Linked DNA regions of Drosophila melanogaster. The gene in region 1 interacts genetically with each later gene. Each region holds a gene or a part of one and is shown on either strand. Other genes may lie near its edges.

Region 1 (7,366 bases):
CGTGGCTACGCAAGTCCTGCTCCGCGGACATTTGACTCAATTAAATGGCTCGACTACGTTCAACGTCCCTTTTCTGGCCCCAAAAGCCACTTAATGACTAGCTCCGGCTCTAACTGAACTTTTTTTAATTTTCAGCTGTCGTCAGCAGCCGTAAAAAAGGCTTTAGTTTTGCATTGTGGGCGCTCAACAGTCCGTGCGGCTGAGCACGTGCCCGCTTTTTCGCCGGAAAAGTGGAAATGGAAACTTTGTAGGTGGGACGCATTCACCTTCTTCGTTCTGTACACTCATATAGTGCGAGTAGAAAGTGCCCGCGCGTGTCGGCTTCGAATGGAAAGTTCTTGGGGCTCCATTCCCTTTCCGTGGAACTTTCTCCGCCGGAAATTGATTAAGTTGGCTCCCTTTAATCAGCGGAATTGAAGATGCTGCCGAAATACAAATCAGTTGACAGTCGGCAGCCGTACTGCGCAATTTACTGCCCAATCCAAATGGTACTTTGAAGTACTTTCCGCGTCGGCAATTTCCACTCCTTGCTGACCAAATCCCGGAGAAAGCGGCAACAACAGCGAAAGTTGTTAAATGCCTAATGACATCATTCGGTCTAGCACTTTCTCGAAATGAACTACTTGTAAAACGGAACGAAACATTGTTTAATATTATAATATTAGGTAGCCATATATTGCTTGGGATAACGGCAGTCATTGTTCCAATTAAATCGTCCGGTTCTGAGCCATTGTATCCACTTGGTCTTAAGAATTTAACATGTTTCTTTTGTGTAGGCTCCAAGGCATTCTTTATCTGAATGCCACCTTGTGTTCCTGTTTTACAAGAATTTTCTTTGACATGAAATGCTCTTGCTTTTCACTGGCTTTTGCCTGCCGCTTATAAACTTTCCCTTTTGGTTTTGCGGCCAACGTTTGGCCTGCTGCCCGTTCGCTTGAGAAGTTTTCCTTTTCGTGGTTATTCATTCGCTTTCAACTTGATTTGGGTTTCACATTTCGGTGCGCATTTCTTGACCAAAATCTGCAGGATTTGTCTTCGCCGTCGTCCTTCCGCCTGTCCGCATCCGTCTGGCCAAGTTGGCCTGCCAAGGGACTCGGGCTTACTTGGGCGCCTCTGGCGCAGTTCATCACTTTGGGCGAGCCGCATATACTGCTGAGCTAATCATGACTCCTCAGCTTCTCTATATTCATCTCCATTTCACTGGAATGCTCTGAGTCCCGCCCAGACCAGGCCCCCCGATCTGGCTTGATGTGTTGGCAAGCTTTTGCCATTTGATTTGACGCCACTGTTTGCTTTCGGATGGGCAGAGTGGCTGCCAGGTGTGTGCTTGCCAGCACACTTTAGCGCTCTTCGGGCTCCTTGGGGTTCTATTATTGAGAATATCGAGCACCTGGGCCCCGAAAGCCAGCGGCGCAAAGCCAACGCGTGGGAGCGACTTCCTGGCAGGTGATTTAAAGCTCGACAGGCTCACATTTCCCGGCCTTTGTGTAATTGATGCACGGCAGCAGCTAAAGGATAACAAATCGCTTTCATCCTGACTCCGCTTCCGGGCGAGCACAATGTGTACAATCACAATCCGCCGTCTGCAAATACACAATCCATAATTCCTTTTTTGGCCAGCCCAGCGTGAAACGGATTTCCGGCGCCTCTTCGGCGAAAAAGGACCTCTCCGTCCGAAAAGCAATTAGATAAACTTGCCAGCTGGATTCGGCAATTGAAAGTGGCCGAAAGTGGAAAATTGCGGACCAGCTGGGAGTGGCAGGACAATTATGAGAGCGAAGGTTCGGATAATTCAGCAATTTGGTCGGGTTAGGGGAATCAGCGTGGAATTATTCTCCTAAGTGCCATGAATTATGACTTAGTTAGCTAAAGCGAATAAATTATTGTTACGGATTTCGGAGTAAAGCGTCCTTTTCTCTCTGAGCCAAAAACTCAAAACGTTTATACATCAGATTAGTTAAATGATAGGAAATGGAATTCATTTCCAGTTCTAGTGTATCTGACTGTATCAACTGTTCAATTGCTATCCACAAGAGAGATCCTTCCATATTCCCTGGACTAATCTCACTTAAATGGAAATTGTGTTTGTTTCGTATATATCTCACATTCATCTTTATTATTTAAGGTGCTTTTTGTTATTTGCTATTTGTTGCGACCATTACAACCCGTTGTTTTGCTCTGTTTCAGGTGGCAGAGCATCAGATAAGATATTTCGGGGCTTTATTCTGCATGTAGGAAAATTGCCTTTCCCCGTTCCAAATTGTTTTACATTTCAACCCAGAAAGTTTTGGCATTTCGCAGTTTACCTCTTGGCCCTTTGAGCATGTTAGCAATTATAAGCTGCCTAGGGAATATTCAAGGAATTTGTAGGAGCAAAGGGCAGGGTCCGCCACCAACACTGAGTTACACGATCCCTAGAACCCTGGACCTCTGAAACTCGTTATGGAAAGCTTCTTATGTTGCAGGACGGACGCCCGTTTTCTCCCCTGAAAACGCTCGCAGTTAATAAGCATTTCCTTTTGCCGGATTTTATGTGCCATATTTTATTCAGATTGCGCTTCATAAATGCAGCTGGTGAAAAGGAGAGCAAAGGCCACGGATAATGAACACCAGTCAGGCCCGGGTGGAGAATTTCCAGCAAACTGAACTGATAATGTTGTTAGAGTGCACACATACATGCATGCATGATGTGGGCGTGTTCCGGGAGGGCGGGGGGCTGGGAAATCAATTTCGGGGAAAACAAATTGCGCAGCTCGTAGTGAAAGCTCAGCGAATATAATACTGCTGCAGTTTCCGTGCTCAGGAGGTACACTTTTCCTGGCTGCCTGCTTATCTGTCATTTTAGCGGGAAACTATCGTTAATGGGAAACTGATAGCAACAGCTTTCCCACTCGCGATAAGTAATGTTTCCTAATTGACTTTTTATCACGCTATCCGACACCTGATACGAGAATTATATTATTATTCCCATTCGCCGAACAATAATTCACAATAATTTGTGAAATTGTCGCGATTTCGGGACATTCATCGTGACAGCAAGTGAGCAATCCGCAGCATTCATTTGCATTCTATAATTGAATTTATGTAACCAATATGCCTGTCTTCCCACGAATTAAATCACGCTGCATTGAGTTTTCGAATTGAGTTTCCGCCCGAGCGGATTGCCCACTTTTCAGTGCATTCCTCTGCCCGCCGATCAGGATTATTTATTTTCTTGCTCGCTACCTGTCGGATTTACTTAAATACATTTAAATGAAAACCCACGCCCTGTGCCATTTCAAGTAATGTTTACTCGCTCAACAAAATAAAAGGTAAATTTGATTGTAGTCCGCCGTACTGAAATATTGCATTTTGTCAGTTGCGAAAAATCAAACATGGAGTACAGTTAATCACATTCACAAAGAAATTCCATTATCCTTATATATTGTGAAAAAGATGTGAGATTAAGTATTTTAACATCAGCAATGTATTTAATGGTTAATTCGATTAAAATTTTTCAACTTCTTATTATATGCTACAATCAGAATCTTCTGTTTAGCAAAGTTCACTTTCATAGCAGCATGTATCTTAAGTACTTTAAATGGATCTCCACAAATTGTTAACTTTGCACAAAATTTTTCATTATTGAAATATTTTAATTTGCACACTTTTTAAAGAAGTTCTGTCAATTAACAGTATGAATATTATGCAATGGACTTCTAGACCTGCATTTGGCTAGCGAGTAAATTGTGGTGCCTTCAAAGAGGGCCCAATTTCCTGCCCATGCCCATGCCCAGGCCCATCCCAGCCCCCGAAAAACTCACCGCAAGAAGTGCCGACGGCTGGCATCGATGCTGGGTGCCATATGTTAGGCTTACGCGCTTATCGCACCATGAGCAGAACTTGGGCCACTGGCCCCGCCACTGGGAACTAGGCACTTGGCACTGGCACTCGTCCTCGGGCGCTGAAGTAGCTGGCGCAGAACACTGGTTGGGACTCCGCCGCCTACGTGTGGTAGGCGGGCGCCTTCTTATTTAACCGCTCAACACTTGGTTGCTCCGCTCCCCAGGTTGAACTGAACGGCGTCGATAGATCCAGCCGTCCGTGGAGCACTGAGCATCAGGTAGCGCACGAGCGGAGCCGACTGTTGCAGCCGAAGCCACTTTCCAGCTGCCTTCCAGCTGCCTGGGGAAGCGGACGAAAGCTCGATGGAGCTTTTGCTGTTGCTTCGCCAGCTGCTGCTTTCCCGATTTTCCGCCCTTCCGATTTCCCGCTTTCATGGCTGTCCCACGGCATCCCCTGTTGCTCCGCTGGAAGCGCGACGCCCACGCAAGTAGCTTTTCCGCGCAAGCCGCGACGAGCTTTCCCCGAAGGCGGCGCCTACGTTTCAAGGCACTCGGGATGGGAGCGAGCTCGCGTCGGCCACTCGGGAAGCAGCCTGCTCCATCGTCCTGCCAATCTTCCTGCCTCCTCTTGGGGCCTACAAGTTCGGCAGCCAAAAATAGCAACAGCGCGAAAGTTCGAAAAGGCTCTCCCAACCGCCTAAACATTACAGTACAGCCTCACTAGAATGAAGGGTTTTCTAGAAAGAAAACTTTCTAGACATTTCCGAAATGCATTCAAAGATGATCAAAATGAAAGGAAGCCGCCGAGTCTGAAGTGGAGATGAAATTTGACACTTAAGTGCATCTTTCATCCTAGCGAATTTCTACTGTTCCAAATGCCAAAATTTCCTTTCATTTTCGTTTGCCAGTGCTTTCCATTGTCAGTGTGTGGGCTCCTTTCTACAATACATTCCGCCTACTAAGCAGAGTGCCAAGTCAGTTTTTGGAGCTCAGCTCACGACCAGCCGCAGCTGCCTCGCGAAATTGTGTCGAAAATGTTATGGCTTGATATATCTGCTTGGGCTATTTTTAGCAGTGGGTGTGGGTGGAGCCAGTGTTGCCACTGCCACCATTGATTTTCCTCACTGTTTTCGTTTTTCCTGCTCCTGCCCCATGTTTTTCCGGACCTTTTCGGCTGTTGCCTGACGCAGCGCCTTTTATGAATGAACTTGGCTCACATAAGCATTTGTTATAACTCCCGTCCGCAACTAAAAGAGGGGCGTTGCACCCTTCGTCGGGTGCGGCGAGGATGGGGGAGGGGCGGGGGCTTAATCGGGGAGATAGGGCAACCCTAATAAACGCACTTTCAATGTCACCAAACTGCTTGCAATCTCATCAAGTAAATGGATTGCCTTGTCGTAGACGACATAGTCGAGGTTCTGTAATACAGACATTTGTCCATATGACGCCATTGTGTCCTATGTTGTATCTCGTATCCTTAGCCTGATGTCATGGATTCGTACGTGTGCGTGTGTGCGGCAAGGATATTGCTTAACTGGGGCGCTCTGCTCCGTTGGCGTATGGAATTATGATTAATATTTGCTCAGTTTAAAATTAATTGCGTTCAGCGATTGCCCTGACAGCCGTTACCAACTCGAACCCACGCCCACTCTAATCTAGCCACTTTTTCAGCCATTTATAATCCCATGGAAGAGTGTGCCTGAGGTCAGGTTATCGTGGGGCTAACAAGGACCTGGCTGCGATTGCACGGAGTTGCCGTGAATGATTACATGGGGCAAGGTCGGCCATCTAATTAAACTGCGCTACGGTAATGTAGTTATATGTATATAAAAAGGTAGAGCTAATCTACGATTCCTTTGATGGTTCTCCCCAGGGGCAGATGGAGCTTGTTTGCAATTAAAAGCTGATATTCTTTGTCGTATTATTTCATATAATTATATACATAGCTTACAAAACCGATGGGGTTAATTTTATGGAAAAATTAAAGGAGACAAGTCCTGGATAGGCTATGTTATGGTTTCAAGACACTATACTGTACAGTATGTATAAAGTAAGTTGAAGTTCACGAAATCCCATGATTGTCAATCTTGTGAAAGGTTCAGAGTCAATTTTAATTTTAAATACATCCCCCAGAGCGACCTGCCAGAGGTAAAGGGAGAATTTAATATTCTGGGCCAAGTTAAAGCCAATTTAATTCACTTTCAGCCTCCATCAATCTTTGTTATGCCCACAGAAGCGAAACTTGTTTGCTTATTTGCTCGGCGAGCCCAGCGTGAAAATATTTGTGCAATTGCTAGACGTTCTTTTAGGGGCCATCAAAATATAATGTCAAATTCACGCATGCTTAACTGCTCCGACTTCTGGCCAATGGGGAATCGTATCTGTATCTCTGTTGGTTTAGTATTAAAACTAAAGTACGTCGTAAGTTGTCCTTTCAGGCTGGTCACCGTATTTTGGTTTCGGTGGCGGATAAACGCGCTTTTATGTGAGCCGTTATGAATGCCCATTTCATACGCCGACTTGTTTATGTTTACGCGAAAATATTTTCGTTTCATTTTTAGTACGGCTCCCTGAGCTGCCACGCCCCCGCTTCCGGATGTTGACGCAGCCCTTAATCAAACAGCGGGCTTTTGTGCGACACTTACGTATAAAGTCCGATACCCGATGCCCGATGCCCAATGTCCGTGGTGAGCCAGGGCTATATTTAACGCACTTGTGGCTTGTGGCCTCTGGACCACGATCTCATCTTTCGGGCTTCTCCTTTTGCAGCTCGCGTATGCCAGCGGCCATGTCAATGGCAACGGCATTCAATCAATCGCCACAGAGTCGACACAAAGCCCACGCCCAGCAGGTCCCCGTGCTTGATGAATGAGTCAGTGGATCCGGCGAGTCCTATTCCCAGAATGACGGCCATGGCAACGCCAGCTGCAAATACAATCGAGTCACATGTCCAGCCGCCTGAGTTGGCCAACAACAAGTGGTGGCCGTGCACTGAATGCCCGAGCAAACAAAATCATAAAGGGATTGCACGGGGATCACAGAGCGACCTATCAAATGGGGCTACATGACGAGTGGGAGTCCGTGAATGGGTCACCATATCGCCCTGACATTATTATGCCAGCTTTCCGCTGGTCTATTTGTGGGTGTGACATGACCATTCAAGCTTTTTGTCTCAGGTCAACGAGGTGCCTCGAATTGTTATTCAGTTGACCAGACCTTAACTGCAGGCAAATAAATCATGTTTGCAAATGCCCATTTATGGGAAGGTAAACAGATAGAAATATAGAAGTTCTCTATCCTGATGTTATGTTATTTCCATATCAGTCGGCCATTTTTATGGGCATTGAACCTATTATCCTAATTGTCTGTATCGCGTATACGTAAATTACGTATACGTATTATGCACATAAATTCTCTGTTATAACGAAAAAATCTAGAATTCCGGTTCCTCACTTAAAGTTAATAAATTTTGCTTGCTGACGTACAACACGTAGATTCACTTAAGGTCATTGCAATATTAATACGGCATTCATTAGGTGAAT
Region 2 (6,647 bases), on another chromosome or scaffold:
GTAGCAGTCGCAGCACCTCGCGCAGCTCCTCCAGCAGCAGGAGTAGTTCCCGCAGCACGCACAGCAAAAGCAGAACCAGGGATCATCACAAATCGCGGTCTATTTCGCAGAGGAAAACCAGGGGTCCAAGTTCGGAAAGCAATTCCCGATCCGCAACCACACCCGCAGCTGCTCCCGTGAAGGCCATCGATCTGTTCGACACCAAGGTGCAAAAGGCACTCGAGACTATAGACGAGGACACCTTCAAGCCGGAGTCATTTTTTAGCTCCAGGGATTCAAAGGAGACATCCGATAAGGTGATCATAGATCTGAACAATGAAACGGTCACAGTCGCCAGCAAGCCAGCCACTGCAGTCCGAAACGAAGATGTAATATTCCATCCGAACGTGAGTGGGTTACCTGGTGCTCGAATATACATGCTAATAGTATCTGATTTTCAATTCCGACAGTTCCTGGGCGACCCGGATATGAAGGCCGAGAAGTGGCTGCGCAAGCTGTACAATTACCGCCAAAAGTACATGCAGGAGTAGTCGAGTTTAGACTCTGTATTTAAGAAACAATAAACCTATGTCTAGAATATATCGCTGCCCGTCTTTCGAGCGCGTTGCAAGGCCTCCTCCGGAGTCAGTTGCTCATTGACCGAGGGCTCCTTGGCGCTGCCGTCCTTCTGCAGTTTTCCCGCCTTGAAATCTTCGATAATCTTCTGCGAGTAGACGGCGTTGAAGAGATCCAAGCTGGTGAACTCCGACTGGACGACGTCCGGCGCCTTATAGGACACGTATGGCTTTAGCTTACAACCGGTCAAATCGGGAACTATGATGTCCGGAATTTTCTCGGGAATCTCCACATACTGCCCGTCGACAAGTATGCCCGTGTCTCGTACACCTCGCTTGTGAATGGCTACCGGCGGATTGGCCAGTGTTTTCTGGGCTTCCTTTACCACGCGCGTACCGCGCTTGTTGTATGCGTTAAATTTACGGAAGTTCCGCTTGCCCTCCAGCACGGATGAAGTACTGATGGTCCTCTGCTGGCACCTTAGGGCAATGGGCACTACTTTAATACAATTATTCATTCTTATTTCGTTTTTCGGCGACCAAAATGGTTAAATAACAAATGTAGATGAGGGAACAGCTGTTTGGTTGGGTAGAGATGACACTTTTTTCGATAGACAATTAATCCCAGTTGGAAATGTATTGGAAGCCAATTTGCTATTAAACTACTTGTTTTTTTAAAAATACCGAAAAAGTTTTTTTTCTTTTAGGCCGTTGCCATATTTATTTTATCTTGATAAGAACTAAGTTGTTTTTTTTTTCAAAAACTAGGCATATTTTTTTTATGTGTAAAAGCAACCATCTCTTAATAAATCGATTAACTTTGCAGCCACCAGTGCTTAAAACGACTGTTAGTTGAAATGAAACTAGATGTTGGCGGATGTCGATGTTTTTGGCGAATAACATCGACGTTTTAAACATCGATGCTTTAAATAAAAATAATTGCTTTTTATTTTAATGTTGCTTAAATAAAACGTCAGTATTTGGTGTCCACCTTTTCATCCTCCGCTGGTCCAGTAATTGCTCCTATAAGACAAATGCACGTTTACATACATACATGTATATACATTTAGACGTGCATATGACATGCATTCATATGTGCAAGCCTTTTTCGGGTGTTAAAAACTTTCTTCTCAGATATTTTCCATGTCTATCACGACGCCACAATATGGTATTAATAATTGTATTAGAAGATATGGAAAATTAATTTGTACTTACAATTTATACGCTTTTCTCCTCAGATGCGATGTAGAGATGGAAAAACATCGATGATTCCTCGAAAACATCGATGAATGCGATTTTTTGAAAACATTGATGACATCCATGCTAGCATCGATGTTTCTCCATCTCTAGCTGAAACTCCCCAAATCGGCTTGTGATCCCTATAAAAAGTTGATTTAGATTCGACGGTTGTTAAACAATGTCGTTACCGGCTGAAGAGGAGGATTTGGCGGACACTGTCGCCAAGTACGATTCCATCGAATTGAAGAGCATACAGGACCTGGAAACCTGCGAGCAGCAACAACTACTGCAGTACGTCGAAAAGCTGCACGGGATTATCCGCAAATACGACACCAAACTGGCGTCCTATAAACAAAAACTCCTACACTACGTGAGTCCCAATTAAAGGTTGAGCTAAAATGGTCTTAATTTTTGATCTATTTTAAAGGTAAGCCGGGAAGAAAAGGTTTCGTGTGACAAAGCCAGCCAAGCAACTGAATCGGAATTACAAGAATGCCAGTATTCCATGGAAAACGATGAGGATACTAACAAAAAAGACCAGCCCAACGATTGTGAGTTAAAATTTGTTTTATTACACTGAGTCCTTCTATTATTGCTACAATAGTAGTGAGTTCCTACTTTGTTTTACTGGCCACCGCGGCCACCAGCGCAGCTCCACGTCCGGATCCGTCCTCCGAGAGCATGATGTCCCACTCCTTGTCTGCTTTCACCAGCTTTTGGAGTGTTTGCCTCATGTAGGCATCGAACTTTGGATGGTATCGGTAGACGGAGCCATCCATGCCGACTATCACGCGGCGGTTGGAAGTCCTGTTCACCAGCCCACTGACTCCGATGGCTACTAATGTAGCCGCTCGCTTAGCTACGCACTCGCAGATGTATCTCAGAGTCTGGCAGTCCTCCACGGAGGCCTTCTCTAGACCAAACAGATTTTTCACAATCTTCCTTGTGCTGGCAAACTCTGGGAAGGAGTCGTCCTCGATTTCCGAAATGTAGCGCGTCTCGAAAACCTCTTCGTTTCTCTGCAGCACGCTGGCGAATTCTGGACGTCGACTGCTCTGTTTAAAGATCAGCTTGCGCTCGAGGGCACGAAGTAGCACAAGGCGCACCAGGTTGCCCAAGTACATGCCCGCCGTCATCTTTTCGAACAGCTGCTCCGATCGGTTTAGAGACTTTTCGTCAACTTCGCGATCGTATTCGGTGCGCACAAAGTCCAACTGACCACCCTCACCAAAGGCGCCCCACTCAGCATTTACAATCACACTCCGCTTCGTTTTTTTAAAGTCTGCGCGCAATAGGTCCACATTCTCAACATCTTCAACGTAGCAGGCATTGCAGCCAGTTCCCACAATGACACCCACCCGGCAATCTGCATTACGATGGGCGCAGGACATCAAGGTGCCAGTGGTATCGTTGAGTATAGCCACCACGGCAATGTCGGCATCTCCGCGCCGCTGAATGGCCTCGTGCAGCATGCGGCCCACATCCTCGCCCTCAACCCCAGCACAATCGAATCCCTTAGTCCAGCGTACCAGGATGCCCTCCTTAAGGCCTAGTTGCACGCAAGGGAAGGAAAAAGTGAAGCCCAGTGGCAGATATGCGGTCTTCATGTCGTGTTTCTCCACAAATTTGGCCAGGCAGCCCGCAATGTGATCGAATAGGTCCACACCGGGCCCCACCATCAGGTCCTTTGGCACGGCATAGATCTGAGAATCCACCGTGGCGTCGTGGTGACCTTTCAGCGAGACGAGCAGTACTCGGAAGTTGGTACCGCCGAGATCCAGGGCCAGGTACTTGCCCATCTCGTCGCCCGTGGGCAGATCCTGCACGTACGTGGGAAAACACTTGACGTTGGCCTGTGGATGCGTGGACCGCTTAAGTCCACGGGCCACTTCCAGGCAAAAGCGACTGTACACTTCCTGCACCTGGTAATCACTCAACACAAAGGGTTGCATAAGTTCTCGCACCTCCGCGTCCAGCATTTTGCTTGGCTAATCTATCTGTCTTAGTTGTAACCGCCTCGAACGATGAGTAACGACTAACCAGGCGCCTGGCGAGCCCACGGCGATTTGGAGTTGCCCTGGGTGCCTGATAAGAGCCAGGCGTTGAGATGCAGTGCGCCTTGGAAACAACTGCTGCCGCTGCAATATGGGCGCTGCGTAGCAAATTAAAAACGAAAACACACCTAAGTAGCTGATTTGCGGATTCCGAATCTGAAACTACAACTGCGCGACATGCTAATCGCTCGTTGTCTCGTTTGCCGCTTGTCAATTGGTGGCAATAGCTTCAGATTCGGCACCCTACAAATTAATTGTAGATCGTCTTTAGCCGACTATTGGAAAGGAGGAAATATGTCACAATTAACTCTGCGAATAAATCCCGGATGGACACCGATCGCATGGCACAAGAATCCATTAAGAGATTACTATTAAAAAGTGTTTCAGTATCTACAAATAAGGTGTCCTCCGTTGTACTAAATTGTTGTATAACTTTTCGTAGAGTGCCATATTTCCGGAAAAAATGGCCAAGGCCGTATTTCACTTTTTTACTTTCTAAAAGCCATAAATTGTCACAGGGCGATATTAGCTGCAACACGCCTTCTTAGTTACGATGAGATAAGGCCGTTTCAAGGACCGCATCTTACAAGCGCAACCCACCCACTTGTCTATCTATTGAGGAGTATTGGCGGGGTCCTAGGTCGAGTACGTCAAACATTCCATGCCGGTAATGCCCGAGATAAGCACTGAAGTGTCGCATGGGCTAACGCCACTGCCCCTGACAAAAATCCGAGCAGCCCTTGACACTACTCTTAATAGAATTAATATGATTACGCAAAACTCAGGGGATTAGAAAAATAATTAGAATTCTTATACTAACACTTAAATAGCTACTTTATAGTTCGTCTAAATACATATAACTATAAACATTAATTTATGAATGTAAAGATAACTACAACCCATTTCCGACTATTTTTAAAGTTGAAATAAGGAAATGTTTTTCAAAACTGCTGATAACATTGCTCATTTTCGTGTCGTTCACCACAGGTTTCTGTTTTTATTTCTATATTGTCTTAAATATTTATAAAACCTTATCAATAACCATCAAAACATTACAAGTCATGTTTGGAAAATAATTTATATTTGCAGTATCGGCGACGGACGCCTTCAGTTTTGTGGACGAAATGAGGCAGGCAGCCAAGCACGCCGAAAACCTGAACAACTTCGTTTACGAGCACACCTCTGGCATGTACTACGATCCCAAGACGGGATACTACTATAACGCGGTAAATAAGCTATAAACAGCGGACGCAATCTTTATGACGTCCCGTTCTATTCCGCGATGCAGTGACTGCACCGCGATGACTTTCAGGGGTTATCGCGCTGGCAAACCTACATCAATGGCTCGGATTGTTGTTAATCTACACCTGCTTTTCTCTTCCTCGCAGGAGTACGGGCTGTACTACGATGGTAACAACGGCTGCTACTACAGCTATGATCACGCCAAAGACTCGTACGAGTTCCACTCTCAGGCCCAGGTACAGGTGAGTGGGTGTAGTTGCGGATTTCAATGCCATACGACCACATTAACCACTGTTCTTCTCCTCCTCGCTGCGCAGCCTTTGAGCGACTGCGCCTATAGTAGTCTTTTAGCGGGGTTTCACAAACTCCGCATAGACCGAATGCGTAGCAATGCATTAGGTAAGAGTCAAGGTCCAGAATGTGCGATAAAAACGCGGATTTCTTTTCTTAACTTGGTTGCAGGCGAACGATGCGGCCAAACCGGAATCGGAGGACGAGGATTTGGAGGTGCAGTTCGATGAGCTGGGAGGCGTCATTACGGACCACGAAACGCTGAAGAAGATTAAGGCCGAGAAGCAAAAGGCCAAAGATCAAGCTGAAAAATCCAAGCGCAAAGCCAAGAAAAAGAAGAGTAAAAAGCACAGCAAGAAGAGATCCAAGAAGGAGCGCCGTCACAAGTCCAAGAAGCGTCACAGGCATTCTGATGATGAGCGGTCTAATGATGCCGAGGAGGGCGAGCTGTCGCAAAGCAGCGACTCCAGTTCCGACTCTAGCAACGAGGATAGCAGCAGCAACACGGAAGACAGCAGTGTTCCAGTTTTCAAGGCTGCCGGACGCTTTCAAGGTGTTTAAGTTATCCGCGTTTTTATCGCGCTCTTCCCTGTTTGTTTAACTAACGCTTTCTTCTTTGCTTAGACATTGCTAAAAAGTATCCACCCTCCCTCCGCATCATTGTCCAGGAGACTAACGTAGAGTCGCTGAAAGTGGGAAGCCTGCATCTAATCACATACAAAGGTGGATCTCTTGGACGGGAGGGCGCTCACGATGTTATCATTCCGGACGTGAACGTCAGCAAGTGCCACTTAAAGTTTAAGTATGAGAACAAGTTGGGAATCTACCAATGTCTTGATCTGGGCTCCCGAAACGGTACCATTCTCAATGGATCCCCAATGTCCAGCGACGCCATGGATCTCGTTCACGGCAGTGTTATCACTCTGGGCCAAACAAGACTACTGTGTCATGTCCACGAGGGTAACAGTACCTGCGGTTTGTGCGAGCCGGGCCTTTTGATAGAGAATTCTCCGCCGGTAGTGGCCGCTGTTGCCTCATCCACCGCATCCGTATTATCTCACAAGGAGCAGTTAAAAAAACTGCAGCGCAAATATGGACTAGAAAACGAAAGTAAATACAAGACAACTTATACTCTCACTTTACTTTGACAATCCTTAATTCACTTTTAGAATTCGTTGATACTAGCGGCAATGGGCAGTCCAACTACAATGATCGTGCCGCAACAAGGAGAGTCCAGGTGGGCAGCAGTACAGATAAAGAAAAGACT

What was found.
Region 2: of IA-2 (region 1) and Hex-C, changing one suppresses a phenotype caused by changing the other (phenotypic suppression), as found in Drosophila melanogaster (one study listed by BioGRID).

Annotation. Positions count from the first base shown.
Region 1 is NT_033779.5:1,039,161-1,046,526, forward strand, and holds the start of IA-2 (IA-2 protein tyrosine phosphatase), read right to left. Parts: upstream 4,059-7,366; 5' UTR 3,829-4,058; coding exon 3,804-3,828; intron 1-3,803.
Region 2 is NT_033778.4:15,216,493-15,223,139, forward strand, and holds Hex-C (hexokinase C), read right to left. Parts: upstream 3,838-6,647; 5' UTR 3,773-3,837; coding exon 2,408-3,772; 3' UTR 2,345-2,407; downstream 1-2,344. Other genes in the region: CG11808 (uncharacterized protein), read left to right, coding at 1-386, 450-530; mRpL41 (mitochondrial ribosomal protein L41), read right to left, coding at 572-1,072; CG8079 (uncharacterized protein), read left to right, coding at 1,972-2,163, 2,221-2,344, 4,937-5,073, 5,236-5,331, 5,552-5,933, 6,005-6,490, 6,550-6,647.